Anolis sagrei: one gene and its partners. The protein of the gene in region 1 interacts with the protein of each later gene in a pairwise test. Links are inferred from orthologs where the notes say so. Each region holds a gene or a part of one and is shown on either strand. Other genes may lie near its edges.

Region 1 (7,826 bases):
AGTAGAGAGAGAGAGAGAGAGAGAGACGAGGAAAGGAGGGAGGGGGAGAGAGAGAGAGAGAAGAGGAGGAGGGAGGGCGCGCGCGCTCTCTCCTCGGCCTTGGCGCGCGCCTCTGCCTTGGCCCACAGCGCCGCCGCCGCCTCTCCGGCCAGACACATTCGCTTCGGGACGGGCCCAAGACCAGGAGGAGGAGGAGCAGGCGGGCCTCCTTGCCTGGACTAAGCCTCCCCCTCTCCACATATATAAGCATAATGAGAGGCAGAGAGAAAGAGAAACCTGGGTCCTCGTCTCTCTCTCTCTCTCTCTCGCGAAAGGGCAAAGTGAAAGGAAAGCACCGCTACTACCAAGGCCTCTCTGGCCCCACCAGGCCACCCACAAAACAAGGAGGCACTACCCCTCCTGTACTTTAGGACCAACTTGGGCCTTCCCTCCAGGTGTTTTGGGCTTCAACTCCCACCATTCCTAACAGCCTCAGGCCCCTTCCTTTTCTCCCTCAGCCGCTTAAGCTGAGGGGGCCCGAGGTTGTGAGGAATGGTGGGAGTTGAAGCCCAAAACACCTGGAGAAAAGGCCCAAGTTAGCCCAGGCCTGTTTTAGGGAGACTATGAGGACATGGGTCACCTCTGCACTCCCAACTCCCAAGTAATAATAATAATAATAATACTTTATATACCGCTCTATCTAGTGGGACTCAGCCAAAGTAACAGAGTGACAAACATTCAATGCCAAAGTGTGGAGGATAATAATACTGCAATAATAATAAGGTTCCCTGACTGCCCCCCTCCTTCCTTTGCCTTCTTCCCTTCCTGACTCCCCTGTTTTGACTGGCTTCACTGTGGATAAGGATAAGAATAATAATGCCAAACTAGGTTCCCCCTTTTGCCCCTCTTCGGTTTTGACTGAGTTAAGTGTAAATGATGATGATTATGATAATAATGTTGATTCCTGCCTCGGTTTTGATTGGGTTTAAGTGTGGATTAATAATAATAATGTTGATTCCTGCCCCTGTTTTGATTGGGTTTTAAGTGTGGATTAATATAATAATAATAATGCTGATTCCTGCCCCTGTTTTGATTGGGTTTAAATGTGGATTAATAATAATAATATAGTATCAAGGCTTCCTTTTCCTTCTTCACCTCCCGCCTTCCCACTTTTGACTGGCTTAAATATGGATGATGATGATGAAGATAATGACAATGTTGATTCCTTCCCCAGATTTGACTGGGTTTAAGTGTGGATGAATAATAGTAATAATGCAGTAACATGGCTATCTCTGCCTTCTTGCCTTCCTGCCTCCCCACTTTTAACTGGGATAAGTGTTGTTGATGATGATGATGATGATGATGATGATGATAGTATTGCAGCAGTAACTACATAGTTCTCTAACCAAGGTTTACCTATTTGCTTCCTTCAGTTTTGTCTGGGTATAAGTGTGGATGATGATGGTGGTGGTGATAATAATAATAATGAGAAGGAAGCAACAGCCAGCATAGTGATCTTGTTTGCTGTGTACTAATCTTGTGCATATAATAATAGTACTGCAGCAGTAACAAGATTCCCTAACTGGGGTCCCCTTCCTTGCTTCCCTAACCTGTTTTGACTGGGTTTAAGTGTGGATGATGATGGTGGTGGTAATAATGATAATAAAAAGGGAAGGGGGTAACAGCCAGCATAGTGATCTTGTTTGCTGTGTACTGATCTTGTGTATCTAATAATAATAATAATAATAATAATGCAACACAGTAACAACAAGGTTATCTAATTGGGGTCCCTCTCTTTGCTTCCCTAACCTGTTTTAACTGGGTTTAAGTGTTGATCATGATGATGATGATGGTGATGGTGATGATGATAGTATTGCAGCACTCACAAGGATAAGGTTCTCTAACTGGGGTCTCCCTCTTTGCTTCCCTCCCCACTTTTGACTGGGATAAGTGTGAATGATGATAAGGATAATGCTGTAAGGACAATGTTCTCTAACTGGGGTCCCCCTCTTTGCTTCCCTAACCAGCTCTGACTGGGTTTAAGTTTGAATGATGATGATGATAATGATACTGATAATAATAATAATAATAATAATAATGCTGTAAGGACAATGTTCTCTAACTGGGGTCCCCCTCTTTGCTTCCCTAACCAGTTTTGACTGGGTTTAAGTGTGGATGATGATGATGATGATGATGCAGTAACAACAATGTTATCTAACTCCCTAACCAATTCTGACTGGGTTTAAGTGTGAATGATGGTCATGATAATAATGATAATAATAATAATAATGTAGTAACAACAATGTTCTCTAACTGGGGTTCCCCTCTTTGCTTCCCTAACCAGTTTTGACTGGGTTTAGGTGTTGATGATGATGCATAATAATAATAATAATAATAATAATAATAATAATACAGTAATGACAATGTTCTTTAAGTGGGGTCCCCCTCTTTGCTTCCCTAACCAGTTTTGACTGGGTTTAGGTGTTGATGATAATGCATAATAATAATAATAATGCAGTAACAAGGTTCTCTTTGCCTTCTTCCCCTCCTTCCTCCCCTTTTGACTGGGATAAGTGTGGATAATGATGTTATAATAATAATAAATCACAGCAGTACGACAGGGTTCCCTGGCTCCCCCCCCCCTTTTTTTTTTTTTTTACCATCTTCCCTCCCTCCTCTCCAGTTCAGGATGGGGCAGGAAAAGGGGGGCGATCCTAGAAAAAGAGGGACTTCCAGCTGTAGAGGTGACAGTCCATTGCCTTGCCTGACTCTCCTCTCTCCTTCCTCCTTTCCTTCCCTCCCTCCCTCCTTCTGAAGCAGCCGCCCGTGTGTTTTTCCAGCTGGAAGTCGCTGGAGGTTTTTCATTCGAGGAAGGAATTAAAGGGGGGGGGGGGAGAGAAAGAGAGAGAAGCGAAAGCAGAGGGGGGTTGTTTTACACTTACTGTGTAAAAGTGGGAAAGGAAAGGGGGGGAGGGGGAGTTAGAGGGAGAGAAGAAGGGGAAAGACTCACAGTGTCTCGCCAGCTGATCGCAAAGGGCTGGGGTTTGTTTTCTGAAAATGCTTTTTTTTTTGGAGGGAGGGAGGTATCATATATAATAATTATTCTAATTATTGCTCGTGCCCCCTCCCTGCGAGACGGCTGTTCTCCTTCGGCCCTTGGAGTAGGAGTGATGTCTGCGGTGCAGCTCTCTTCTTCTTCTCTCTCTCTCCTTCCCCAGGACTGTATGCAAATAGGGAAGAGAAGCCAAATATGGAGCAGTTGGCTGCCTCTGCATCGGCTTCAAGGCTTCGACTTCTCCGTGCAAAAGGGGAGGGAAGGAGGGAGGAGAAGGAGGCAACACTTTTGTCAGGCGGCCAAGAGAGCCACACAGATTATAGCAGACGCACAACAGAGCCTGGCGGAACCAGCCTTAACCCTTTCCAGGGGCTGCTCCCTCAGTCTCCAGGAAGGGAAATACTCTGGTGGTTGCTGTTGTTTACTACTACACCCTGGCTTTGGGACTCTCCTCTGCATAGCCACACTTCATTCAGAAATCATTATAGCACACACACCAGAGTTGGAGCAAGCAACTCTGGCCCTTTACAGGTTGACAAAGGGCCCTCTAAATGCATTATTCCAATGATTTCCAAGGGTGCATACATACTGCAAGGTTAAAGCAGTTGGTTAGTGACTGCTTTAACTGCCTATGACTCTGGAATCATAGTTGTGGTTTCATAAGATCTTTAGCGTTCTCTTGCCAAACTACACCTCCCAGGATGCCATTGCATTGAGCCGTGGCAGTTAGTGCTGCCAAACTGAAATAATTCTACAATTTATAGGCAGCTTCCAACAAAGGATTCTCTCCAGGCAGGAAGCAGCCACACCTTGAAGCTGAAAGGTTATTCAGTGCTAAGCAAGGTGCCCAATTGCAACATTCACACCTGCCTCAAACAAGAGTTCTTTCTCCCGCCCTGGACATTCCACAGATATATAAATTCCACTTGCCTAGTTTGCAACAGACCTCACAACCTCTGAGGATGCCTGCCATAGATTTGGGTGAAATCCCCTGCAAACACTCTGAGAAGCACTTTACCCGTTGGGTTGCTCTTTACTTTTGATTTAAAACCCTCCAAATAGATACATCCTCTGCTCATGTCCAGCATTTATTTTTAAAGTTTTAACTATTACATTTGGCCCAGCCATAGATTTTTAAATTCTTGTGTGTTATTGTCTATTTATGAGTTATATAAATTTTATTGTTGATTTTGTTTATTGCTTGTTGTTTTTGATGTGTTGTTGGGCTTGGCCTCATGTAAGCTGCTCCGAGTCCCTCGGGAAGATGGTGGCGGGGTATAAATAAAGTTTTATTATTTATTTATTATTAATGTCAGGAGAGAATGCTTCTTGAACATGGCCATACAGCCCAGAAAACTCACAGCAACCCAGTGATTCCGGCCATGAAAGTCTTCAACAACACAATTTATAGGCACCTCAAGTGTTCACAAAATAGAGCACCCATGCTGTAAACATGCTACGTGTGCTTTCAAATTGCTGGTCAGCATCTAGCAACCTTGTGGATTTCATAGCGTTTTCTTAGGCAAGGAACAGTCAGGAATAGTTTTGCCTCTGAAAATATAGCTTAATCAGCGCTTGGTGTTCACTGGTGGTCTCCCATCCAAGTACTATCCAAAGCCAACCCTGCTTAGCTTCCAAGATCAGACAAGATTCAGTGCATTTGGGATATTAAGGTGCTCACAGACATACTACAGCACCCAAAAGACAGCACACTTGCTACTCGAATAAGTGTGATATTGTGAATATACAATCTGTGTTTAGCATGATCCTATAAGAGGGCAGGGGCCACGGTGGCACAGTAGGTTAAACTGCTAAGTTGCAGAACTTGCTGACCGGAAGGTCAGTGATTCAGATCCATGGGACAGGGTGAGCTCCAGTTGTTAGACCCAGCTCTGCCAACCTAGTATTTCAAAAACATGCAAATGTGAGTAGATCAATAGATACTGCTTTGGCAGGAAGGTAACGGCACTCTGTGCAGTCATGCCGTCCCCATGACCTTGGAGACATATACAGACAACAGGCGGCTCTTCGGCATAGAAATGGAGATGAGCACCACCCCTCAGAGTCAGACTTGACTAGACTTTAATGTCAAAGGAAAACTTTTATGTTTACTATAAGAGGGCATTGCAGAGCCCCAGCAAAATATGTATGTTTAGTCCATGGGAGAAGATGATATTCTCCAGAACAGAAGTGCTTTCTAAGAAAAGATGTAAGCATAAATAACAAGCAAGTAACATATATTGTGTGGGGAAAGGTACTGGTGGTAAAGAACCGACTGCTGAATCATGTTGTGTTACAAAGCCATTGTGTTGAAAAGCCAGTTGCCCATTCAAGGCTGTACTGTTGTTGAAAGGAAGAAAACACAGCCTTGACAACAGAAGATGAGGAATAAAGATGAAGTTTCTTCAAACCAGTGCTGAGGAATCTTATTTAGTTACTGGTACTGCTCTGGTAACTATCACTGAAAGTAAGCCATTGCCAAGAGAGAAGCCTTATAGGAAGCAACTCCTTGTACTGAACTGAGAGAATAGCAGATCGGCATTTTATTTTCTGAAAATGTGTTCTCTCAATCTGACACATTCTATTAGACTCAGCTTTTTTATTTTTTATTATTTCTTGAAGGGGGAAATGCAAGCCTTTAAATTATTAAAAACAGGATAGATGTGATAAAAAGAAGAGTAGGAGAGGAGAAGGAATCTTGCAGTATCTTAACACTAATTGATATATTTTAGCATGAGTCTTTGTGGATTTCAGTCCATTTCCACATTGGCATATGTGCAGCATGGCATAATTAATAGCTATCAGGGAACATGTGCGGTAGAAACATCCTAGGGTACATAATATATTAAAATTTGCTTGTCAACTTCACAACTACAAGTTCTCATTCTCCCCAAGCAGTAGGATTTTGGCTCCCAAGTATGCAAACCTTTGCTCATTCAGAGACAAAACGAAAAGGCACCCATGTGATACCACCCAAGACCTCAGATATACAAGTTCATTTCCAGGACGATTGCAAGGCAATTGTTGCATCATAACAAACCAAGCAATAACCTCAAGAGATGGCAAGTTAACAGGACAGATCAGAAACCCAGAAGGAAATTGCAAAAGTAATGAGATCAGAAGAAAGGAAGATAAACCTTTGCAGTTCAAGCTTCTTCAGTAGGACTAAAGGAAAGTTTCACATCTGTGGAAGAACAGCATAGCAGACCTTATACAAGTAACTTCCAGATCAGACGTCTTCTACACTCTAGAGAAAACAGTAGCAGTGGAGAAGGAAGAGTTGAATAACCAAAGAAAAGCAATTACAAGTAAGCAACCTGTAATTCCACATATGGAAGAATAGCAAGCTAACTTATTTGTCATAGATATAAATATCTGTTTCTAGGAACTTTACTCCACGCATTGAATAAAGCAGACTTCGCCTATGAAAGCTTATGCTAACAACTTCTTTCTTTCATGACCTATAAAGCCCTAAACAGTTCAGGCCCCGCCTATCTACGCGATTGCATCTCCATCTATGAACTCTAAGATCTTCTGGAGAGGCCCTCCTTTCACTCCCACTAATGTCACAAGTACGATTGGTAGGGATGAGAGAGAAGGGTCTTCTCGGTGGTGTCCCCCCGCCTCTGGAATGCCCTTTCAAAGGAAATAAGACGGGCCCCATCCCTCCCCTCCTTTCGTAAGAGCTTGGAGACCTGGTGGTTTCAACAAGCCTTTGAGAATGAGCAGTTCTAGCTCAGCCCCAAACATTGTTGAATATGGCCTTATACTTCCTATCTATTACCCTGGTCATCCCTCTAAAATGCCCTGGAAATGAGCAGCCGCAGACTCGTACCTGCTGTTGTTGTTAGCCTGTTATAGCACTGTAATTAATTCTTGGTTCCCTCATATTTTGAGTTTGCACTAGCCTTGGCCCAACCTTTTAATAACTCTGAACAGGCAGGATTATTTTTTAATATATATGTGTTATTGTGATTATTTTATGCTTATGTTGTTTTGTTAATTTTATGTCATGCTGTTTACTCTGTATGTTTTTGTGATGTTACTTGGAAACCACCCTGAGTCCCCCTCAGCGAGATAGAGCGGTATATAAATAAAGTATGTATGTATATATGTATGTATGTATTTATTTATTTACCAGAGAACCACCAAACTCATTGCAATCAATAAAAGATACAACTTTGAGATCCTGAACTTCCAGAGGAATATTCTCTGACAACAATTAGGACTATAAGATGCCATTGTTAGAGATGGAAAGGCCCTTTAAGAAATCCATGTTTGAAACCATGATCTCCACTAGCACTATAGGGGTTCCTAAAAGAAACATAAGCAAGCCAGGTTAAAGTATACCTGAGTTAAAATTAAGATCCAATGGACAAAAATATGTACTAATTTAATGTCATCAAGAAGTGTATAACTAGAATAAGACCCCAGTCTCCCTGAGATACATTTCTTGCTGGACCAGTTACATTAAACTACAGATATGGCTGGATACCATTAAATTCCCTGACTTCTGGTCCTAGCATACCATTAAAAAGGTAAAGTTTTCCCCTTGACATTAAGTCTAGTCATGTCCAAATCTGGGGGGGGGGGGGTGTTCATCTCCATTTCTATGCTGGAGAGCCAGCGTTCTCTGTAGATGCCTTCTAGGTCATGTGGCCGGCATGACTGCATGGAGCACCGTTACCTTCCCACTGAAGCGGTACCTATTGATCTACTCACATTTGCATGTTTTTGAAATGCTAAGTTACGAGAAAATGGGGCTAACAACATGAGCTCACTCCATCCGCAG
Region 2 (7,627 bases), about 61 Mb from region 1:
AGTGAAAAGTAAAAGCTGGGCTTCCTCCATGTCCCACTCTGTTGTGTTACACCCTTCTTGTGACTCTCAGAGAAACACAAGTAGCTGCTTTATACTGAATTAGACTAGAGGACCATTTAGGCCTGTAATACTGACTGGCTCTCCAGTATTTCAGGCAACAGCCTTTCCTACCCAACCTTTGATGGGAAGCCACCTTGAGAGCCTGATGGTTTCCCATCAAAGCCCCGACCCTGTGTAGCTTCTGAAATATGAAATTGTACTGTACAATATTAATTCTTTAGTGAAAGGGAAAGGAACTGTACTGTTTGGAGAAAGCTGTAGGAAATTTAAATTTTATAGCAATTAGAGCAGTGGTTCTCAACCTGTGTTTTGGCCTACAACTCCCAGAAATCCCAGCTAGTTCACCAGCTGTTAGAATTTCTGGGAGATGAAGGCCAAAACATTTGGGGATCCACAGGTTGAGAACCACTGAATTGGAAGAAGAGAGAAGCATAATAGGAGAGGTCAGATATGTGGTCAACGAAGTTCTGAAAGTACAAGATGATGACAGGCTTGTGTGAGAAAGAAGATGAGATTGTTGTAAGTTTGAAATATAGCAAATACTTGGAAAAGCACGACTAATCAGAGAGTAAATCAGGTGTAGCACACGCATTACCTGTCACAGTGTCCAGATGTTTCTTCAGAGGCCGGTGACCTCCTCCAATTATACACTAATTGTAATTCTCCTTAGAGACTCCAGTTCTTTATCTCCATCTCTTCTTACGGACAGAAGGAGGTTCATCTTCTTCTGCACACCCACCAAGATGGTAGTATTAGATATTCTGAAAAACAAAAGTACAAATGCATCTAGTTAGAAATATGATTGACTTTGTTATGTGCCTTCAAATCACTTCCTCCTTATGTAAGGTGAACCTATTGTAGGGTTATCTTGGCAAAATTTGTTCAGGGAGGCTTGTCATTGGTCTTCCTCTTAGAATGAAATAGTATGATTTCTGCAGGATTAAACAGTGGGTTTCTGAGTAGGGATTCTAACTCTGGACTTCCAGATTCCGGACTCAATGTTCAAATCATTATGCTATATTGGCTCTTCATTGTAGACTTTGTTGTGTGTCTTCAAGTCATTTCCGACTTGTGGCAACCATAAGGTGACCCTACCATGGAGTTTTGTTCAGACCAAGAACCTACCTCTGAGACCTTGTGACTTGTCCAAGGCCACCCAGTTTGTTTCCACAGTTGACCAGAGATTCAAACCCTGGTTTCCAGAATTGTAATTCAATCCTCAAACCACAACACCACACTGGACCAACCTCTGGTCAAAGACAACTCTGAAGATCAGAGGTAGAGGATCATTTCTCCAACAAAGGGCAGTTTCCTTTATATCAAAACATTATAGGGGAGGGGGAATGGACAGTCTGCAGTGGGCAGGGCAGAGTTGCACCATTTCTGGATTGCACATCCCTCCCTTTTTCTCTCTCTACATTGGCCATGGACTCCCCATTCCACTTGGAGGTCTATATACAATTTTGCAACCACAGCGCAGCTACCCAAATAGAATATCTTGGCACAGTTAAAGATTACGAAGTCCCTTGAATCCAAACTTTTTTATGGTTTCAATGAACTTTTGAATATGTAGCAGAGAGCTGTATTTGGAAAAGGAAAGCTTGGTTTCAAATCTTGGCTTAATTTTGGCATTCATAAATTGTCTCCTTCCGATTCACCTAACCCTACAACAGGCATGAGCAAACTTTGACCCTCCAGGTGTTTTGGACTCCAACTCCCTACCAGCTGTTAGGAATTGTGGGAGTTGAAGTCCAAAACACCTGAAGGGTCAAAGTTTGGCCATGGCTGCCCTACAAGGTTGCGATCGGCACAAATACAGGGTTGCTGTCAGTTTTCAAGGCTGTATGGTCATGTTCCATAAGCATTCTCTCCTGACATTTCGTCTGCATCTATGGCAGGCATCTTCAGAGGTTGTGAGGTCTGCACAAATACAGTTGCCTCATGGATCTCTCACTTATTGACACAAATGTGACAGATTTAATCCAGGTCACTTGGCTTACCTTCAGCCACAAAAAAGGCACACAAATCCCATTCCCCTGTGAGCCACTCCCTCTCATGTATTTTGCTGGGTGCATACAAAAACAAAAATAGGAGGAAAGGGATTCCTTATTCCCAAGGAGTAACAAGATATTTTTCGCAACAGTGTAATTATACTATGAACACCAGGGAAAATAATTTTGCACTAAGTTTCTTTGTAGAGCGGGTTGATGGTAAAGACTCTTATCATCTTGGCCCTCTTTCCATCACAAGGGCCTAAATTTTGGCTAAATTGTCACATCTACTCCCTCTGAATCATTGTAAGGAATGCAAACAATAGAAATGGAAAAGCATTGATCAGAAAGCACAAAAATAATGCCTAAAATTGCCCCTCCCCATCACACCCAGCATGTCCTCTGGATTTGGAGCAAGTGCTTCAATGTGTCTTTTCAAGCAAGTCTCCTCCTTTTGTTGTTCTCCCTCTGCTTCCCCCAAAACAGCAACAACCCAAAACTGGGGAGACAGAACTGGGGTGTCAGAAACCCTTTATCTCTCAGTTTAGTTCCAAAATTATCTTTTAAAAAAATATTTTGGGATGCAGCCATGTGACACCCATCTCTCTTAAAAAGGAGGAGCTCTAAAAATGAAGAGGTTGGAAAGAAGAATCAAAATGCTAGTGGATTTTCCCCCAGTTTATTTCCCCCCTCCTTGTTCCAAGCTTTGTGGGCATTTCAGGCATAGAGGGACTCCTACATCCCTGGTCCCATCCCTAATGCTAAAGATCCTTTAGCAAAAACATAAATATATATATTTGAAAATCCCCTACCTTTGCAATGCGTAAAGGCTGCCTGTTAGCTTTCTGCCTGTTCAGTACAAGTCCGCCATCTTGCATTAAAAAAAATACTGCACTTTTTTGGGGGAAAGGAGGAGGAGGAGGAGGAGTGATGCTTGGTGAACTTTGAACTGGCACTTTGTAGAAAAAGGGGGGAGGACCAACCCAGCTCTGCAATCCGCTTTCCCAAAGGCAGCTTGCACTGGAGAGGTTCCCATTCAAATGTTTTCTTCTTCTCCCTTGTTGTTGTTGTTGTGAAAAAAAGGGGGGAGTGGAGGAAAGCTCGCGAGTGTGTGCAAATGCACCAGTCCCACAAGAGAAACAAGCAGGAAGGAAACAAGGGGGAGAGAGAGAGAGGAGGCGCCAAAGCCCCAGCTTTCTGCAAAAGGGAGACTGACTCTGCCTCTCCAGGTCCCTGGTTAGCCAACAGAAAGCAAGGGGCTGATTGGATCCAGCTAGATTGAACCCTGGCCATTGGGAATGGGATCCCTTGCAATGCATACACAGGAAAGGAAGGGAGAAAGAGAAAGGAAGCAGGGAGGGGAGCAAGAGGGCGTTCCTCCTCTGAGGTTCCCCAGAAAGGAGGCTGGAGAGTAGGAGGCAGCAAAAGGAGGTCACTGCCTCCAGATCAGAATTCTGCCCTCTTCAAATGCAAGTTTGTTTCCATCTCCAAATGTTTAGCATTGCAGTGACTTAGGGGTTTTTTTTATTACATTGTACAATAAATGCAATAAATTGTACAAGAAACATTAACAAATATGCAGATGACACCACTCTGATGGCCGAAAGCGAGGAGGAGCTGAGGAGCCTTCTAATCAAGGTGAAAGAAGAAAGCGCAAAAGCTGGGCTGCAGCTAAACATCAAAAAAACCCAAAATAATGGCAACAAGAATGATTGACAACTGGGAAATAGAGGGAGAAAATGTGGAGGCCGTGACAGACTTTGTATTTCTAGGCGCAAAGATGACTGCAGATGCAGACTGTGGCCAGGAAATCAGAAGACACTTACTTCTTGGGAGGAGAGCAATCTCCAATCTCAATAAAATAGTAAAGAGTAGAGACATCAGACTGGCAACAAAGATCCGCCTAGTGAAAGCCATGGTATTCCCTGTAGTAACCTACGGATGTGAGAGCTGGACCTTAGGGAAGGCTGAGCGAAGGAAGATAGATGCTTTTGAACTGTGGTGTTGGAGGAAAGTGCTGAGAGTGCCTTGGACTGCAAGAAGATCCAACCAGTCCATCCTCCAGGAAATAAAGCCCGGCTGCTCATTGGAGGGAAGGATACTAGAGGCAAAGTTGAAGTACTCTGGCCACATCATGAGGAGACAGCAAAGCCTAGAGAAGACAATGGGGAAAGTGGAAGGCAAAAGGAAGAGGGGCCGACCAAGGGCAAAATGGATGGATGGCATCCTTGAAGTGACTGGACTGTCCTTGAAGGAGCTGGGGTGGTGACAGCCGACAGGGAGCTCTGGCGTGGGCTGGTCCATGAGGTCACGAAGAGTCGGAGACGACTGAACGCATGAACAACAACACAATAAATGCAATTTGATAACTCTTGAACTGCTATGGTATGGTGGGAGTTTAGTGAGGCACCAGCATTCTTTGGCACAGAAGGAGTATAGTGTCTAGGAATCTAGTGTCTAGATCCAGGGAAGCCATCCTACCCCTCTGTTCTGCCTTGGTTATACCACACCTGGAATACTGTGTCCAATTCTGGGCACCACAATTGAAGGGAGATGTTAACAAGCTGGAATGTGTCCAGCGGAGGGCGACTGAAATGATCAAGGGTCTGGAGAACAAGCCCTATGAGGAGCGGCTTAAAAAGCTGGGCACGAAGAAGACATATGACAAAGGTTCCTTGGCAGTCATTTTGCAAAGAAAGTACACACACTGATTTATGAGTCTAAAAAGTGTCCTAACTTAGAGCATGTTATGACTTTCTGCCTTGTACAGCCCTTAGTGGAATTGCAGGTACAATTGGACATCAGAAGTGGTATAGTAGGCGGCAGATCCCCTCTGATCCAGGAAACTACACAAGGTAAACTCTACCTTGTATGGAAACCACCACAGCATATTGGATGGAAACCACTCAAAGGTGCTATAGGACCTGGTAAAACCACCTCTTGAGTTTTTCCTGCCTAAGAAAACTCTGATATTTGTAAAATCATTACTGAATGTGATTTTCCTGCTTCTTGGCAGGGGGTTGGTCTTGATGGCCCACAAGGTCTCTTCCAACTCAATAAATCTATGATTAAATTGATAAGACCACTCAAAAGCATGTATACACACATTTTTGAATATTTTTATTCTGTTTTAGTGTAGAACAGGACATTAATTGTTAAGGCAAGAAAAACAATAAATGCTTATTTGGAAAAGCTAGAATCCTTCCTTTCCTTAGGTGATCCCTCGTTGTCAGAGTATGATGGTCTTCCAAGCGTAAGGTCTTGGCAGTGGCTACGTAGAAGACTGTGGAGCCCTATTCTTGACCTGCATGTTCTTCCAACGTGAGGACATTGGTTTCCAGGAGGAAGCCAGTCCCAGTTAGGGTTGGCTTGACATGTCCTCCTCTTGGTACATTTCTCCCTTGCGCTCTCCAAAACTAGAATCATCACGCAGCCCATTAACAGATTCAGTGCAGGGCCATAGGATCTGAATCAACAAAATGTTACAATCTGCATGTGGACATGAAGAAAGAGATACAGTGATGTACTGATTTCACGTGGGCAAGGAAAAAGCTCCAGGCATCAAAACACATGTCTTGTGATTATTTATATATAATATAAAGCATTTTGACGGAAGTTGTCGTCCCATCTTTTTCTCCAGTCCAGGACTCAAGACATCACAGGAAGTTTAAAATTAATAGTTTTAAAATTCATATCATACAAAAAGTAAAAATATAATTAACAAAACAGGCATAACCACCATCAAAGAAGCCCCCTTTAATACATTATTTTTATACTTCCAGCCTCTTTGTTCTCCGTCTAGCTGAAATTTTTATTTAGCAGCATCAGCACTGGAAAGGTAGTGAAATTTTTGAGAAGTTGAAGCAGTCTGTGTGCAGTATAGGTAAAGGTTTCCCCTTGATATTGTCTAGTTATGTCCGACTGGGGGTTGGTGCTCATCTCAATTTCTAAGCCAAAGAGCCGCCGTTGTCCATAAATGCCTCCAAGGTCATGCCCCCTGTTATTAATCATACAGATATAAAAATGGGACAAAAATATAGATCCTAAGAACAGTGAAAGAAAAAAAGCCATCCCTAGTATCTAGAGTACGATGTTTTATAATTCTTCCAAAGCTTTTAATATGGTTTCATTTCACACACATATAGTAATAGTTTTGACTTAAAAGTTTGCTGTAATATGATGCACTTTTCTTTCTTGAATTGTAGGGACATATCACCTTTTCCCATGCTATTTCTACCTCTGGCACCAAATTTTGGTAAACAAGTCATGCCCAGAAGCATCTCTACACATGTAATGTTAACCATAATCCCTTCTCTTCCTGGCTTTCTTTTTCACACATAGAACGAGCAAAGTTCAGCATTAACTCAATAGTAAAATGTTAAAATCAAGGTTTGGATTTTTGGAATTAAATATTTTCAAGCTATGGATGGTTGAATCTGTGAATGCCATGACTCTAAAGCAGTGGTTCCCAACCTTTTTTTGACCAGGGATCACTTTGAACAGTGACCACTCTCCGACATTAGTACCAAAAGGGTTACAAATCAGTTTTTGGTCAACTTTAGATTCGGTTTGGTTATTTGGGGTGCTGATTCAGAAATTTGCATTGGCTAGACCACATCAGCTCTAATTTCCGATACAGAACATATGCCATCCAGTAGTCGCCATCTGCTCATCCACAGAAACCCATATTTAATAATCTAGAGCTCATGTGGTCTACCTAATGCCATTTTATGAATCAGCACCCCAAAAAAGACCAGGAACAGGCCTAAAAATGAAGACACAGGTGCCACACGGATCGGCTCCTCGGGGAGGGAGAAGCAGCAGTCAGGAGGCTTGTTGTCATGCCTTTTGTGGGTAGTTAGGCTCTCATCTCCCAAAATACCTCTTGCCCCAGCATTATAAGTGTTTTGTGAGACCAGTTGCTCTTGTTGCAACAGTGTAGTAACAGTGAGGCTGTGGACCACATTTTAGTTCTCATAAACCACTGGTGGTCTACAGACCACAGCTTGGGAACCACTGCTTTAAAGAGTTTCCCTGCTTCCAACCATATTTTGCCCCATTGGTGTATTTAATGGTCTAAATAATTTTAAGTGTTCTCATTTTATTTGCCAGTTCTATTTTATACCGAATGCAGTCATACCTTTAGGAGTTTCCTTAGCTCTCCTGTCTAACCAAATGTGCATCTTAAACTATGTGGTATGAGGGGCTTTATCTCCCAATATGCAGTAGATCAACATCATATTTGTGCTCCTAAGTTATAAATTTTGTTGCAACCATGAACCATCGGCGATCTAATGCTTATGTAAAACTCTGTTCTTGAGGTATGAATGACACCCAGACATTCTAGAGATCTGGTGCTCTTCATTTTCTTTTTCACAGCTTCTTTTATTAAAGCCCCTCTTTGACTCCCCCTTAAAATATAAATATAATCATTGGCATTTTTAGCATTCTTACATATAGGATCCACTAGCATTTGCCATGCACTTTCAGCATGTTCCCTGATCATGCTGCTCTAAACAACAGCAATGAAAAGAATTGCTACTCAAACAATGTTAAAGAGTATATAAATTTTATTT
Region 3 (7,291 bases), on another chromosome or scaffold:
TGAGCCATAGCAGAGCACCTGATGAACCAACCTGGACACAGCATATTATTCGAGAACACAGAAGTGCTGGACCACTCTCACAACCACCATGTCAGACTACACAGAGAAGCTATTGAAATCCACAGGCATTTGGACAATTTCAACAGAAAGGAAGAAACCATGAAAATGAACAAAATCTCGCTACCAGTATTAAAAAAACTCAAAAATTACAACAGCAAAACAACAGAGGGGAAACAAACAGGCACATCTTAACACCTGTCAACAAAAGATTCCCCCCAGGCACTTCCAAGCCATTGAATGCTAATCAAGGTGATCAGCTGAAACATTCACACCTAGCCCCAGCAGACAAAAGTCCTTTGTCTCACCCTGGTCATTCCACGGATATATAAACCCATTTTTCCTACTTCCAACAGACCTCACTACCTCTGAGGATGCTTGCCATAGATGCAGGCGAAACGTCAGGAGAAAGATTGCCTCCAGAACATGGCCATATAGTCCAGAAAAACCTACAACAACCCAGTGATTCCGGCCATGAAAGCCTTCGACAATACTAGGTGTGAATGTTGCTTGAGCGGTGATGGCACGATCATCAGCATAGATGAAACTCTGTCCCTTCTGGCAGTGGATGGTCATTTGTGTAGCTGTTGAACAAGAATTTTGACATTATGAAGGTTTTGGAACTGTGCGTTGACAGGCTGCAGGGAAGCAGGTCCTGGCCTAAGCAGCTGCTTCTCCAAGGAGGGAGAAAAGGATGTGATAATATTTGGATTCATGAGGATGGATGCATGTACATGTGGTGTGAATGTTGAGTAAAAATTTAATTCTTCTTTGCTTGTTAGCCAATATAACTGTAGGTTGTTTGTGAATTCAATGTAGTTGCGTAGAATCTGTATGTCCAATGTCATTCTTTGTGTAAAAGTATAAAAGTTCTGTAAAAGTTCTGATATATCCTCTCTCATACTGGAAATTACAATAAAAAGCTTTAAAGTTATTGAAAAGTTATTCATGACACACATACACACATCCTACAATACACACAGATTTGTGTGCTATACTTGATGCTACTCAAACCCATTATTTACATTTTCAGGGCTTACATTTTCAACTAGAATGCAAAACAGCACACATCTTGTATCAATATATCAATAAATAGATGTATTTAGTATTCTAGCCTTCAAGTTAATATTGTCATGGAATCTAGATGGATGAAGATGATCTTTTTTGATCAGAAGTGACTTGAAGGCAACCATTCTCCAACAGTAATTAAGTGGGATGGAGCCAGAGGAATGAGTTATCTTTAGGGTGAAAATATTTTTGATTAATTGATTGATTGATTGACCTATCTCCCAATATGTGGAGTCCGGACCACTAAAAAGAGGCAGTGGTCTCTCCTTTGCTGAAGAAACCAGATTTAGATCCCTCAGTTCCCTCCAGTTACCGCCCAGTTTCAAATCTCTCATTCCTGGGCAAGGTGATTGAGAGGGCAGCAGCGGAGCAGTTGCAGCAATTCCTAGGCGACACAGCCGGACTAGATCCCTTCCAATCCGGCTTCCGTGTGGGGCATGGGACAGAGACTATGCTGGTCTCCATCACGGATCACCTTCGATGCCAGCTTGACCAGGGCGGGTCAGCGCTGCTTGTGCTATTGGATCTCACAGCAGCATTTGACACAGTCGACCACAATCTCTTGACCCACCGCCTTGCTGTTGCTGGAATCAGGGGGACAGCTTTAAACTGGCTGTCCTCCTTTCTTCACAACCATGGACAGCGAGTGGAGAGGGGAGGCCTGGTCTCTGAGAGGTCCCCTCTATCTTGTGGGGTTCCTCAGGGGGGCATTCTCTCCCCTCTGTTGTTTAACATCTATATGCGACCACTTGCTCAGCTGGTTCGAGGTTTTGGGCTTGAGTGTTATCAGTATGCCGATGACACTCAGCTGGTGCTGAAGATGGAAGGCCGACCGAACTCTGTACCTGATTATTTCCATCAGTGCCTCGAGGCCGTTACTGGATGGCTGCGTGCCAGCAGGTTGAGGGTGAATCCAGCAAAGACGGAGATCCTATGGCTGGGTGGACCAGGCAGGGGGGACATCCATCTGCCCACCCTGGATGGCGAGGCGTTACGCCCGTCATCATTGGTAAAGAGTCTGGGAGTCCTTTTGGACCCTCTGCTGACAATGGAGGCCCAGGTATCCGCCGTGAGCAGAACTGCCTTCTTTCACCTGTGGCAGGCTAGGCGGCTGGCCCCCTACCTGTCCAGGGACGACCTAGCTACGGTGATCCAGGCCACAGTCATCTCAAGACTGGACTACTGTAATGCCCTCTACATTGGCCTCCCTCTGTCGGTGATTCGGAAGCTCAAGTTGGTACAAAACGCAGCTGCTCGGCTTCTTGCGGGAATTCCGATGAGATGCCACATAACACCAATCTTACTACAGCTGCATTGGTTACCAATTGAGCACTGGATCACTTTCAAAGTGATGGTACTCACCTTTAAGGCCTTGCATGGTCTGGGGCCAATGTATCTGAAGGATCGTCTCACCCCCTACCAACCCCAGAGATCCCTCCGTTCTGAGGACCAAGATCTATTGGAAGTCCCCAGTGTCAAGACCTTGCGTTTAAGGGCAACCAGACGCAGAGCCTTCACAGCAGTGGCACCATCACTCTGGAATGCTCTGCCACCCGAAGTTCGTGCCCTGCGGGACTTACCAGCTTTCCGCAGGGCATGTAAGACATACCTGTTCCGACAGGCTTTTAATGTTTGATACTGTTGTTTTTAAATTGTTTTAAATTGCTTTTAAACTTTGTTAGATTTTAGCTATTCTTGTAAGCCGCTCCGAGCCCCAGGGGAGTGGCGACATATAAGTTTAAATAATAAATAAATAAATAAATAAATAAAGGTTAAAGTAACGAAACTACAGCCTCTGCTTTCTTATGGATCCATCTTCTCCATTGCCAACCATTCAGGTATACTTTTTGCATGTTCAAAATACTCAAAAACAAACAAGATTAAAAGCATTGCACTCACTCCTTTTGGGAGCTGCTGCTGGTACTACTGTTATCCTCTTGGAGGGCCTCAGAAGATGGAATGGGGTGGCAGCTCACTTGGAGAAGTGGTGATGAGGACCTGGGTTGGAGTTCCTCCGGGAGACCTTGGACTCTTTTCCAGATCTCATGGCAAGCTTTATCCAAACTGTCCTGAGGCGTATTGTGATGGATCCAAATGTGTCTTGGGAAAGGGCCTAATGGAAAACTGCCCTTGGGGTTGGTTGTTGAACACTGAAGGCTGCTCCTACTTGACAGCATCGTATCTTGCCCACTAATGGCTAGAATGAAAATTGAATAAACAAACAGGAAGGGTGTCCACACACCTTCCTGAGATACTTATGTTGCTTGCCTTATTTTCTTTCTTTTTTTAAAAAAAGATGGTACAGAATGGAGCATATGGAAACAAACTCTGGTAGCTAAGTAACCATAGAACCCTTGCGACATGGTAACTTAACTGACATAAAGAATAAAAACTGTAATAGATCATCAAACTTCAACAGCAGTAGACGGAAGGGGAGACTTTGCTTGCTCTGAAGGACACTGAGGGAGAAAGATCTTGCTCTCCTTCCTCCAACTGGCATATCTGGAACACATCACCTGGAAAGATATTTTTTTTGTCATGTCAGGAGCGACTTGAGAAACTGCAAGTCACTTCTGGTGTGAAAGAATTGGCTGTCTGCAAGGACGTTGCCTAGGTGATGCCTGGAATTTTTTTAATGTTTTTTACCATCCTTGTGGGAGGCTTCTCTCATGTCCCCACATGAGGAGCTGGAGTTGACAGAGGGAGCTCATCCGCACTCTCCCCGGATTCGAACCTGCGGCCTGTTGGTCTTCAGTCCTGCCAGCACAGGGGTTTAACCCACTGTACCACCTAGGGCTCCTATACATGGAAAGGTGTTGCCATCAGAAGCATTTCTTTCTTTCTTTCTTTCTTTCTTTCTTTCTTTCTTTCTTTCTTTCTTGGCTCTTGTGTATATAAAAATACAGAGTTTTTAAGTCAAGAATATCCTATGCTCCAAAATCTATGATCAAAACCTGAAACCAAAGGACCGTCTCTGGTCTGGTTAGAAGAAGAGAAAGTTGGGTGGTGCCTCCAACATAGGGAGTTGGGTGTGCTTCACTTGGACAAGAGAAAATGGAGAGATGATAGGAAAGCAATCTTTAAGTATCCAATGGGATGTCATGTAGAAGATGGAGTGAGCTTGTTTTTCTGCCTCTTTGGTGCCTAGAACATGAACCAATACATTGAAAATAAAAGAAAGGAAGTTGAGAAACATTGAGAATGTCTTGATTGGAAGAGCTGTCTGATAGTGGAGATCCTAGGACACGGGGTGTTTCTGGCCTCACAACTCTGTATGTTTATACACACAAGAGTTAGCAAAAAGGAAAAGAATGTTTCTGATGGCAATGTGATGTGTTCCAGATGTATCAGCTTGAGAAAAGGAGGACAAGGTCTTTGTTGTTCAGCATTCTTGACAGTGGTAGACTCTCCATCTTTGGAGGTCTTAATACAGAGGTGGAATGGGCATCTTTGAGGAATGCTATAGTTGTCCATTTCTACCTCACAAAGGGTTGAACTACATCAACGTTTCTCAACCTGGGGGTTTGGGAACCAGGGAGGGGGATCGTGGGGGTGGGGGGTGAGAGGGGTCACTAAAGATCATCAGAAAACAAAGTATTTTCTGTTAGTCATGGAGATTCTGTGTGGGAAATTTGGCCCAGTTCTATCATTGGTGGGGTTCAGAATGTTCTTGGATTGAAGGTGAACTATAAATCTGAGCTACTAGGCCAGCTGCGCCCGTACCTTGGGAAATCTGACTTGGCCACGGTAGTCCATGCTCTGGTTACATCCCGTTTAGACTACTGCAACGCTCTCTACGTGGGATTGCCATTGAAGACGGCCCGGAAGCTTCAATTGGTCCAACGTGCGGCAGCCATGATACTAACAGGAGCAGGACGCAGGGAGCATACAACCCCCTTGTTGTACCAGCTCCACTGGCTGCCGATTTGCTACCGGGCTCAATTCAAGGTGCTGGCGTTGGCCTATAAAGCCCTAAATGGTTCCGGCCCAGGATACCTATCCGACCGCATCTTGACCTACGAGCCCACCAGGACTTTGAGATCTTCCGGGGAGGCCCTGCTCTCGATCCCGCCTGCTTCACAGGCACGGCTGGCGGGGACGAGAGATAGGGCCTTCTCGGTGGTGGCTCCTCGACTGTGGAACACCCTTCCCGTGGACATCAGACTGGCTCCTTCCCTGATGATATTCCGCAGGAAATTAAAGACTTGGTTGTTCAAAAAGGCATTCGAACAAGAAGTGCAATGATTGGTAATGACTATAGGATTGGAACAATGGAAATGATACTGGATTGTGGTTTGGACGATGAGACGACGCGGAATGGCTTTCGTAGTAATGATGATGTTTTTGATGATGATGTTCTTGTTTAATGCTGGATGTGGATTTTATATTATGTCTTGAATTTGAACTTTGTTCTTCTATGTTGTACACCGCTGTGAGTCGCCCCCGGGCTGAGAACAGCGGTATATAAGCAAAGTAAATGAATAAATAAATAAATAATACTACAAGTCCCAAATGTCAAAGTCTAGTTACACAAAATCCACCAGTGTTCAATTTGGGCATATTGAGTATCTGTGCAAATTTTGGTCCAGATCCAACATTGTTTGAGTCCACAGTGCTCTCTGGATGTAGTTCAGAATGCTCTTTGAGTGTAGGTGAACTATAAATCCCAGCAACTACAACTCCCAAATGTTGAGATCTATTTTCCCCAAACTCAACCAGTGTTAACATCTGGGCATATTGAGTATCCATGCCAAATTTGGTCCAGATCTATCATTTTCAAATCCATGGTGCATTCTGGATATAGGTGAACTACATCTCCCAAACTCAAGGTCACTGTCCGCCAAACCCTTCCAGTATTTTCTGCTGGTCATGGGAGTTCAGAGAGCCAAGGTTAGTTCAATTCCATTGTTGGTGGAGTTCAAATGCTCTTTGATTGTAGGTGAACTATAAATCCCAGCAATTACAACTCCCAAATGACAAAATCAATCCACTCCAATCCTACCAGTATTCAGATTTGGGTGTATTGGATATTTATTCCAAATTTGGTCCAGTGAATGAACATCTCATATCAGATATTTACAGTGCGATTCATAACAGTAGCAAAATTATAGTTATGAAGTCGCAACCAGAGGCGGCCCTAGGTAATTTTCAACAGTAAGCAAACAGTATTTTGGTGCTCTCCCCCCAGCCAATCATTGATATATATTTTCTGTTCGTCATGGGAGTTCTGTGTGCCATATTTGGTTCAATTCCATCATTGGTGGAGTTTAGAATGCTCTTTGGTTTTAGGTGAACTATCGAAAACATGCAAATGTGAGTAGATCAATAGATACCGCTCTGGCGGGAAGGTAACGGCGCTCCATGCAGTCATGCCTGCCACATGACCTTGGAGGTGTCTACGGACAACGCTGGCTCTTTGGCTTAGAAATGGAGATGAGCACCACACCCCAGAGTCAGACATGACTGGACTTAATGTCAGGGGACTACCTTTATCTTTACCTTTTTATACATCCCAGTAAGTAAAACTTCCTTATGTCAAGGTCTATTTTCTCCCAAGAGCGCCTCAAGAGCGCCCCCGGGCAAAATCAACTATACTGCGAATGCTTACTTTGCGTAATGGCTGAGCCGTCCCTGGTCGCAACGAAAATAATGTTATGGTTGGGCATCACCACAACATGAGGAACTGTATTAAGGGGTCACGGCATTAGGAAGGTTGAGAACCACTGAATAACATGGTCCTTGTGACCCCCTCCAGCTCAGAGATCCCATTTTATTGGAAACCTTCTCTTTTTCCTTTTTTTTATTTGCAGATGTAACAAGAGGTTTCTTTGCGTATCTTTCTCTGTGTGGCAATTTTTAAAAGCAGAGCATAACTGGAAAACAGTCTGCAAATAGAGAGGGAGGAGAAAAAAAGTTGTCTCTTTTTGCCCCTTGGTTTTCTTTCATTCTACTGTTGCCTCAGGTTAAATAGGTTGTGTGAGTGCTTAAATAATACAAAACCTCCTGAGGGGATCACGATGTTTAGTTAATCTGCGGCAGCAGAAATACGAAAATACGAGAGTAAACCCCAAGATCGAATAACCCTCTCAAGGCAGCAGCTTTTGTGGATGAAACGGCAAAGAGGGGAGGTGCTTGTTTGTTTGTTTGTTTGTATCGCTTTCTTTGG
Region 4 (7,710 bases), on another chromosome or scaffold:
ATGGGAAACCTGCTACAAAACAGGAGCTTTTTTGTTGAATTCCAGGGCCAGAGAATCATAGAATCATAGAATCAAAGAGTTGGAAGAGACCTCATGGGCCATCCAGTCCAACCCCCTGCCAAGAAGCAGGAATATTGCATTCAAATCACCCCTAACAGATGGCCATCCAGAAGCAGATAGCGGAAACAGAAGAATGGCCTGCCACAGGGGAGCGTGCTTGCTCCATCAATGTTTAACATTTACACAAATGACCAGCCACTGCCAGAAGGGACAGAGAGTTTAATCTATGCTGATGATCGTGCCATCACCGCCTAAGCAGGGAGCTTTGAGATGGTTGAACAGAAGCTCTTCGAAGCTTTAGGTGCTGTTACTGCCTATTACAGGGAAAACCAGCTAATTCCTAATCCATCTAAAACAGAGATGTGTGCATTTCATCTTAAGAACAGGCAAGCATTTCGAGCTCTAAGGATGATCTGGGAAGGAATCCCATTGGAGCATTGCAGCGCACCCAAATACCTGGGAGTTATCCTGGAGCATACTCTGACTTACAATAAGCAGTGCTTGAATATCGAGGAAAACGTTGGTGCTAGAAACTATATTGTACAAAAGCTGACTGGCACAACCTGGGGATCACAACCAGACACAGTGAAGACATCTGCCCTTGCACTTTGCTGCTTTGCTCCTGAATGCGCATGCCTGGTGTGGAACATATCTCACCACATTAAAACAGTGGCTGTGGCTCTTAATGAGACATGTTGCATTATCACAGGATTCCTATGCCCTACACCACTGCAGAAATTATACTGTTTAGCCGGTATTGTACCACCTGACATCTGTCAGAAAATAGCAGCCAATAATGAAAGGACCAAGGCAGCGACATCTCCAGCCTATCCCTTGTTCAGATATCAACCAACATGCCAATGCCTTAAATCAAGAAATAGTTTTCCAAGATCTACAGAGATACTTGCAGGAACACCTCAGCAAGCAAGAGTCCAAAAGTGGCAGGCGAAAATCCGGAACCTCAATCCATGGCTGATATTGAATGAGAGAGTCCCCTCTGGGCACACAAAAAACTGGGTTACTTGGAAGGTGCTGAACACACTGCACTTTGGCACCACGAGATGCAAAGCCAACCTTAAGAAATGCGGCCACAAAGTGGAGTCCACGACAGTCTCTCCCTTTTTTTGCTAGATAGGATGGGCATTGAACACGCGAGCTTTAACATGCCAAGCCCTTTTCCATCCAGATGTGCACCAGCTATTCAGAACCTTGTTTGAGCTGCAGAAGATGGCCATTTGATCCTCAACTTTCAACTCGCTAAGCAGATGTTTTGCCCCACTGTTTTTCTCCAAGAGAGGAAGAAAGCATCCAGATGTGCTTCACAGGTTGGCAGGAGGCTTGGTTGAACTTCTGCCGCTCTCTTGGGGGAAAGGCCCGCTTGTCGTCGGGATTCATTCCATCTATATATTTCTCTTGCAAATACTCTGCAAATTGACTCTGGTTTTGTGGGTCACGAGCTCCGGGCCTCGGGCTTCTGCAGCTGTTCCCAACCAAAACAAGTTTCCATCTGTTTTCTGTTTCTCCAAGAGCTAATGATTGAAGTCCCAGAAGAAGCAGATTTTTCTAAAACACTCGTTTTGGAAACACGAGGCTTTGAAGCCCCTTTTGCCTCTACAGGACAGAAACCAGAAATGGATGCTATTCATTAATTATACAAATATTTGTTTATTGTTTTTTCACATTCATAATACCATTCACATCTTTCGTAATTTCCAGTTACACAACACTACTTAATTTCCTTACCGCAACTACCAGGCTCCCCCTTGTTTACATTGATTTAATCGACTCTTTGTTAACCGGAACTATTAAGCAACCGGCCAAAACAATCAAATTCTTTAAATAAAAGGTAAAGCTTTCCCCTTGACATTAAGCAGAGTAATTTTCAATGGTAAGCAAACAGTATTTTGCTTCCCCCCCCCCCCCCCCCCGCCAACCAATCACTGATATATATTTTCTGTTCGTCTTGGGAGTTCTGTGTGCCATATTTGGTTCAATTCCATCATTGGTGGAGTTCAGAATGCTCTTTGATTGTAGGTGAACTATACATCCCAGTAACTACAACTCACATATGTCAAAGTTTATTTTCCCCCAAGAGCGCCTCAAGAGCGCCCCTGGGCAAAATCAACTATACTGCAAACGCTTACTTTGTGTAATGGGTTGAGCCGCCCCTGACATTAAGTCTAGTCATGCCTGACTCTATGGGTTGGTGCTCATCTCCATTTCTAAGACAAAGAGCCGGCATTGTCCATAGACACCTCCAAGGTCATGTGGCCAGCATGTGTCAAGACCCAGAAGCCTTAAAGAAGCCAAACACAAAATGCAGAGTCCAAACACAGTGTTATTGTTCACAAAATAGTCTTTGAAGCACTTACTTCAGTGCCTTAGGTTCAAATAAAGTGTTGATATCAAAAACAACGTGAAAAAAGCAACTGAAATATAACCCGGATTATCTTGGCGTATAATCCAGTTTAACTAAGGTATTCAGCAATCCGCTTTAAACTCACACAGTTCACAGGAGGTACAAAGGCACAATAGGAACAGGCAAAAACACAGTCCAAAAACGGTCCGAAGTCGTAGCACGATGCAAGCAAGTTGACAAAGTCCAAGAGGCAAAAACGCGTTGTCCAAAATGGTCCGGAGTCAAAGCAGTAGAGTAGAAGTCGTTGTTCACGAAATCACAAGAAGTAAACACAGGAACACAGGAATCTGTAGTCCAAGGACCCAAGCTCGAGAATTGGCAGTAACAAAGATTCACACCCCAAAAGAGACTTTGCCTTCTGCAAAAATCCATGCAAACAATACCCACTTTTATCCTAAAGTTCCTCATCAGAAGATGAGGTGCTCCCCACTCTTTCATCATCGCTCTCAGCTGCCCCATTCTCTGCAGCTGAACCCGAATGCCCATCCCTCCACCTCTGCCAGCGTCTGTCAAGACTTAGATCTTGCCAAGTGCTCCCCGGTTGGCGTTCCTCTGTAAACCCCTCAAAGTCATCGCTGGAGGTGGGTTGGGTACAGATATCCCTAATCTCCTGTACACGGATCCAATCGAGCCCATCCTCCTCCCCCATGTCACTCCCAGACCCATCCCTCCCTTCAAAGCCCATGAAGTCCTTGTCCTCTGTAGGAGCGTTAAGTATATCACGGATGCGCTTCCTTTGAGTTTCCTCATCAGACTCTGGATCGTGAGTAACCCGCTTGACTCCCCTGCTTTCCTCCCGATCCCCCATTTTACAGTCGGAGAAGCCCTCAAAGGTTTCAGAATCACTCGGGGCCATGATTATCTCTCTAATCTGCTTTCGCTGCTGCTCCTCTTCCAACACCTGCGCAGCCCGCTTCTCCCTCCTACCAGTAGTAGCAACGTTACCATCACGCTGAACTACAACAGCATGACTGCATGGTCACCGTTACCTTCCCGCAGAAGCGATACCTATTGATCTGCTCAATACCTATATACCATATATATTCGAGTATAAGCCGACCCGAATATAAACCGAGGCACATAAATTTACCACAAAAACTGGGACAATGTATTGACTCGAGTATAAGCCTAGGGTGGGAAATACAGCAGCTATTGGTCAGTTTCAAAATAAAAACAGATACCAATAAAATTACATTAATTGAGGCATCAGAATGTTAAATGTTTTTGAATATTTACATAACACTGTAATTTAAGATAAGAGTGTCCCACTCTGATTCTAACCTTCTTCAATGTAAATGTGCTTATGTATCCTTCCAATAAGAATAAAGAGAGTAACATAATGTAATAATAAGTTCTTGTGGGTTTTTTCGGGCTATAGGGCCATGTTCTAGAGGCATTTCTCCTGACGTTTCGCCTGCATCTATGGCAAGCATCCTCAGAGGTAGTGAGGTCTGTTGGAACTAGGAAAATGGGTTTATATATCTGTGGAATGGCTGGGGTGGGGCAAAGAGCTCTTCTCTGCTGGAGCTAGGTGTGAATGTTTCAACTGACCACCTTCATTAGCATTTGAAGGCCTGGCTGAGCTTGGGAAAATCTTTTGATGAGAGGTGTTAAGATGTGCCTGGTTGTTTCCTCTCTGCTGTTTTGCTGTTGTAATTTTAGAGTATTTTTAATACTGGTAGCCAGATTTTGTTCATTTTCATGGTCTCTTCCTTTCTGTTGAAATTGTCCACATGCTTGTGGATTTCAAAGGCTTCTCTGTGTAGTCTGACCAAAGAAGTCAGCCATAGCAGAGCACCTGATGAACCAGCCTGGACACAGCATATTATTTGAGAACACAGAAATGCTGGACCACACTAACAACCACCATGTCAGATGATTCCAGCCATGAAAGCCTTCAACAATAATGTAATAATACTTGTACTTGCATTGCAACTGTTTAATTTCCAGAATGTAATTGGTGATTGCATTGGGTTGTTTTTCCTGCAGGAATCTCCCACTTCCAAGCCGGAACAGGCAGCCGAAGCTGAGCAGAAGAGTCTGGCCGAGGAATCGGGAGACGAGATGCTGCCTTCCAGCGAGAAGGAAGAGGAGCAGACGTTCCTGGTCAACCTCTACAGGTTTATGAAGGACCGGCACACGCCCATTGAGAGGGTGCCTCACCTGGGTTTCAAGCAGAGTACGTACGTCCCTGAATGCATTTCTTGCACGTTTGAGAAACCAATTGCCGTGTCTATGAAAGGCCAACCTGTGGGTTTGCAGAGGGCAGATCTTAAATCAGACGTTCTCAAACACTTTAAACTGAGGACTGGTTTGCTGTCCTTCAAGGCTGTTGGGGGACCGTACTATGATTTGGAAAACAAAACAAAACAAAATCCAACAAATTCCTCTGCACACTGCGCAGCGTATTCTATATAATAATTGTATTACATTATTATTATATTACTAGCTGTCCCCTGCCATGCATTGCTGTGGCCCAGTCTGGTGATCTGGAAAATAAAGTAATTATAAAGTGTTGGTTTCTAATATATGTAATTTCTTTAGGCTTGTGAGTGAACAGTATTTTTTGTTGTTTCTTTGTCAGTGTTGATGTGGAGAGTGTCTGTTTTGCCTACTCTGGAATATGCAACATATCATAGTCCTTCTTTAAGGGTCTCTTTCAAATCTATGATACTATATCTGTGTGTGTGTGTGAGAATCATATCTATCTATCTATATTTATGACTGGATGGCTCTTCGTCAGGAGGGCTCTGATTACATTTTCTTGCCCTGTTGAAGAGAGTTGGACTGGATGACCTTAAGTATTTTCTGTTGGTCATGGGGGTTCTATGTGGGAAGTTTGTCCCATTTCTGTCGTTTGTGGGTTTCAGAATTCTCTTTAATTGTAGTGAACTATAAATCCTAGTAACTACAAATCCCAAATGTCAAGTTCTATTTCCTCCAAACTCCATCTGTGTTCATATTTGGGCATATGGAATTTTTGTGTCAAGTTTGGTCCAGATCCATCATTGTTTGAGTCCACAGTGCTCTCTGGATGTAGGTGAACTACAACTCCCAAACTCAAGGTCAATGCCCACGAAACCCTTCCAGTGTGTTCTGTTGGTCATGGAAGTCCTGTATGCCATGTTTGGTTCAATTCCATCATTGGTGGAGTTCAGAATGCTCTTTGATTGTAGGTGAACTATAAATCCTAGCAACTACAACTCCCAAATGTCAAGTTCAATTTCCCTTAAACTCCATCTGTGTTCATATTTGGGCATATGGAATATTTGTGCCAAGTTTGGTCCAGATCCATCATTGTTTGAGTCCACAGTGCTCTCTGGATGTGGGTGAACTACAATTCCCAAACTCAAGATCAATGTCCACCAAACCCTTCCAGTTTTTTCTGTTGGTCATGGGAGAACTGTGTGCTAAGTTTGGCCCAATTCCATCATTGGTGGAGTTCAGAATGCTCTTTGATTGTAGGTAAACTATAAATCCTAGCAACGACAATTCCCAAATGACAAAATCTTTTTTTTTTTAGTGGAGGACATACATTGGGTTGTTAGGTGTCTTGTGTCCAAATTTGGTGTCAATTCCCCCAGTGGTTTTTGAGTTCTGATGGTATCACAAACGAACATTACATTTTTATTTATATAGATAATATTATAGTAGAATTATAATTATAGAATATAGAATTATATATAATATAATATAATTATGCAATACAATTAACTATAGTAATTATAATTATATAATTATAATTATATAATATTATATAATTATATTTAATATATAATTATATTATATCTATATAAATAAAAATGTAATGTTCATTTGTGGGATTAACATAACTCAAAAACCACTGGACGAACTGACACCAAATTTGGGCACAATACACGTATCAGGCCAACAAGTGACCATCACTCATAAAAGCACTGAAAAACACAGCAGAAGAGACTTAAAAAGCCAAAAAATAAAAAATACATTACAACGCATGTGAAAAACCATATATATATATATATATATATATATATATATATATACACGCAAACACACGTATATACACAAATATACACACATACATATACACACTTAAACACACACAAAGCACATCTACACAGACTGGGCCACAGCAACGTGTGGCAGGGGACAGCTAGTATTATAATATTGGACTCCCTGGTGGTGCAGCAGGTTAAACTGCTGAGCTTCTGAATGTGCTGACTGAAAGGTTGGCGGTTTGAATCCGGGGAGCGGGATGAGTTCCCGCTGTTAGCCCAGTTCCTGCCAACTTAGCAATTTGAAAACATTCAAGTGTGAGTAGATCAATAAGTTGGTGGGAAAGTAATGGCACTTCATGCAGTCATGCTGGCCACATGACCGTGGAGGTGTTTACAGACAATGCCGGTTCTTTGGCTTAGAAATGGAGATAGCACCACCCGCCAAAGTTGGACATGACTAGACTTAATGTCAGGGGAAAACCTTTACCTTTACCTTTTATTATTATATTTATTATTATATTATAATTGTATTTTTATATTACATTTCATTTTATATTATAATTATATGTATTATTCTATTGATATGTTTGCATTACATTATGATAATGATATTATATTATTATTATTGTATTCTAATATTTTTATATTACATTTAAAATGAAGAACATAACCTAAAATCTGGAGCTTTTGAACTGAGAAAATTGACTTTCTTGTCCAATTAATATTCCCTCCAAATCTGTTTTCCCCAGTGCTTGAAAGGAATTATTCCAAGAAGTGTTATTACACACTTTCGCTAAAAGAAGGGTGAAAAAAAAATCACCTTATCTCTGACCTTTATAAACTATGCTGATTATTATACCATCTGGATAGATTCTCATTTGTTGCTGGGTTTCTCTGTTTTGGCTAGGGTGTGTTATTTATACATGCCATTGGAGCTCATCATATTATCCACTGTTATTGGAAGTTTTATTTATCCATGCTATTTGGCACTATCATATATCCCCAGTGTTGCCCGGGTTTGCAATTTCTTTGTGGCTCTTTCCTTCCTTCCTCCATTTCCCTCAAATACTTTTTCCCGCTCCCTTTCCTTCCATTCTTTTCTTCTTCCCTTGCTTTCCCTCATACTCTTCCCTTCCCTTCTTTCCCCTCCCCTTCCTTTCCCTCCCCTCCTCTTCCCTCCCCTCCCCTTCTTTTCCCTTCTTTTCCCTCTCCTCCCCATCTCTTCCCTCCCCTCCCCTTCTTTCCCCTTCC

Evidence for each region.
Region 2: the proteins of ATXN1 (region 1) and ZHX1 interact in binary tests that used the Homo sapiens proteins (3 or more experiments, as listed by UniProt). The link is inferred for Anolis sagrei from reciprocal best matches to the Homo sapiens genes ATXN1 and ZHX1.
Region 3: the proteins of ATXN1 (region 1) and CXH1orf94 interact in binary tests that used the Homo sapiens proteins (3 or more experiments, as listed by UniProt). The link is inferred for Anolis sagrei from reciprocal best matches to the Homo sapiens genes ATXN1 and C1orf94.
Region 4: the proteins of ATXN1 (region 1) and ARID5A interact in binary tests that used the Homo sapiens proteins (3 or more experiments, as listed by UniProt). The link is inferred for Anolis sagrei from reciprocal best matches to the Homo sapiens genes ATXN1 and ARID5A.

What each region holds. Positions count from the first base shown.
Region 1 is NC_090024.1:81,545,088-81,552,913, forward strand, and holds the start of ATXN1 (ataxin-1), read right to left. Parts: upstream 3,296-7,826; 5' UTR 2,990-3,295; intron 1-2,989. UniProt on the Homo sapiens protein: Chromatin-binding factor that repress Notch signaling in the absence of Notch intracellular domain by acting as a CBF1 corepressor. Binds to the HEY promoter and might assist, along with NCOR2, RBPJ-mediated repression. Binds RNA in vitro.
Region 2 is NC_090024.1:20,488,479-20,496,105, reverse strand, and holds the start of ZHX1 (zinc fingers and homeoboxes protein 1), read right to left. Parts: upstream 3,237-7,627; 5' UTR 2,864-3,236; intron 822-2,863; 5' UTR 656-821; intron 1-655. UniProt on the Homo sapiens protein: Acts as a transcriptional repressor. Increases DNMT3B-mediated repressive transcriptional activity when DNMT3B is tethered to DNA. May link molecule between DNMT3B and other co-repressor proteins.
Region 3 is NC_090034.1:68,094,421-68,101,711, reverse strand, and holds the start of CXH1orf94 (uncharacterized protein C1orf94 homolog), read right to left. Parts: upstream 3,303-7,291; coding exon 3,025-3,302; intron 1-3,024.
Region 4 is NC_090027.1:23,188,608-23,196,317, forward strand, and holds the start of ARID5A (AT-rich interactive domain-containing protein 5A), read left to right. Parts: upstream 1-4,474; 5' UTR 4,475-4,543; coding exon 4,544-4,658; intron 4,659-7,710. UniProt on the Homo sapiens protein: DNA-binding protein that may regulate transcription and act as a repressor by binding to AT-rich stretches in the promoter region of target genes.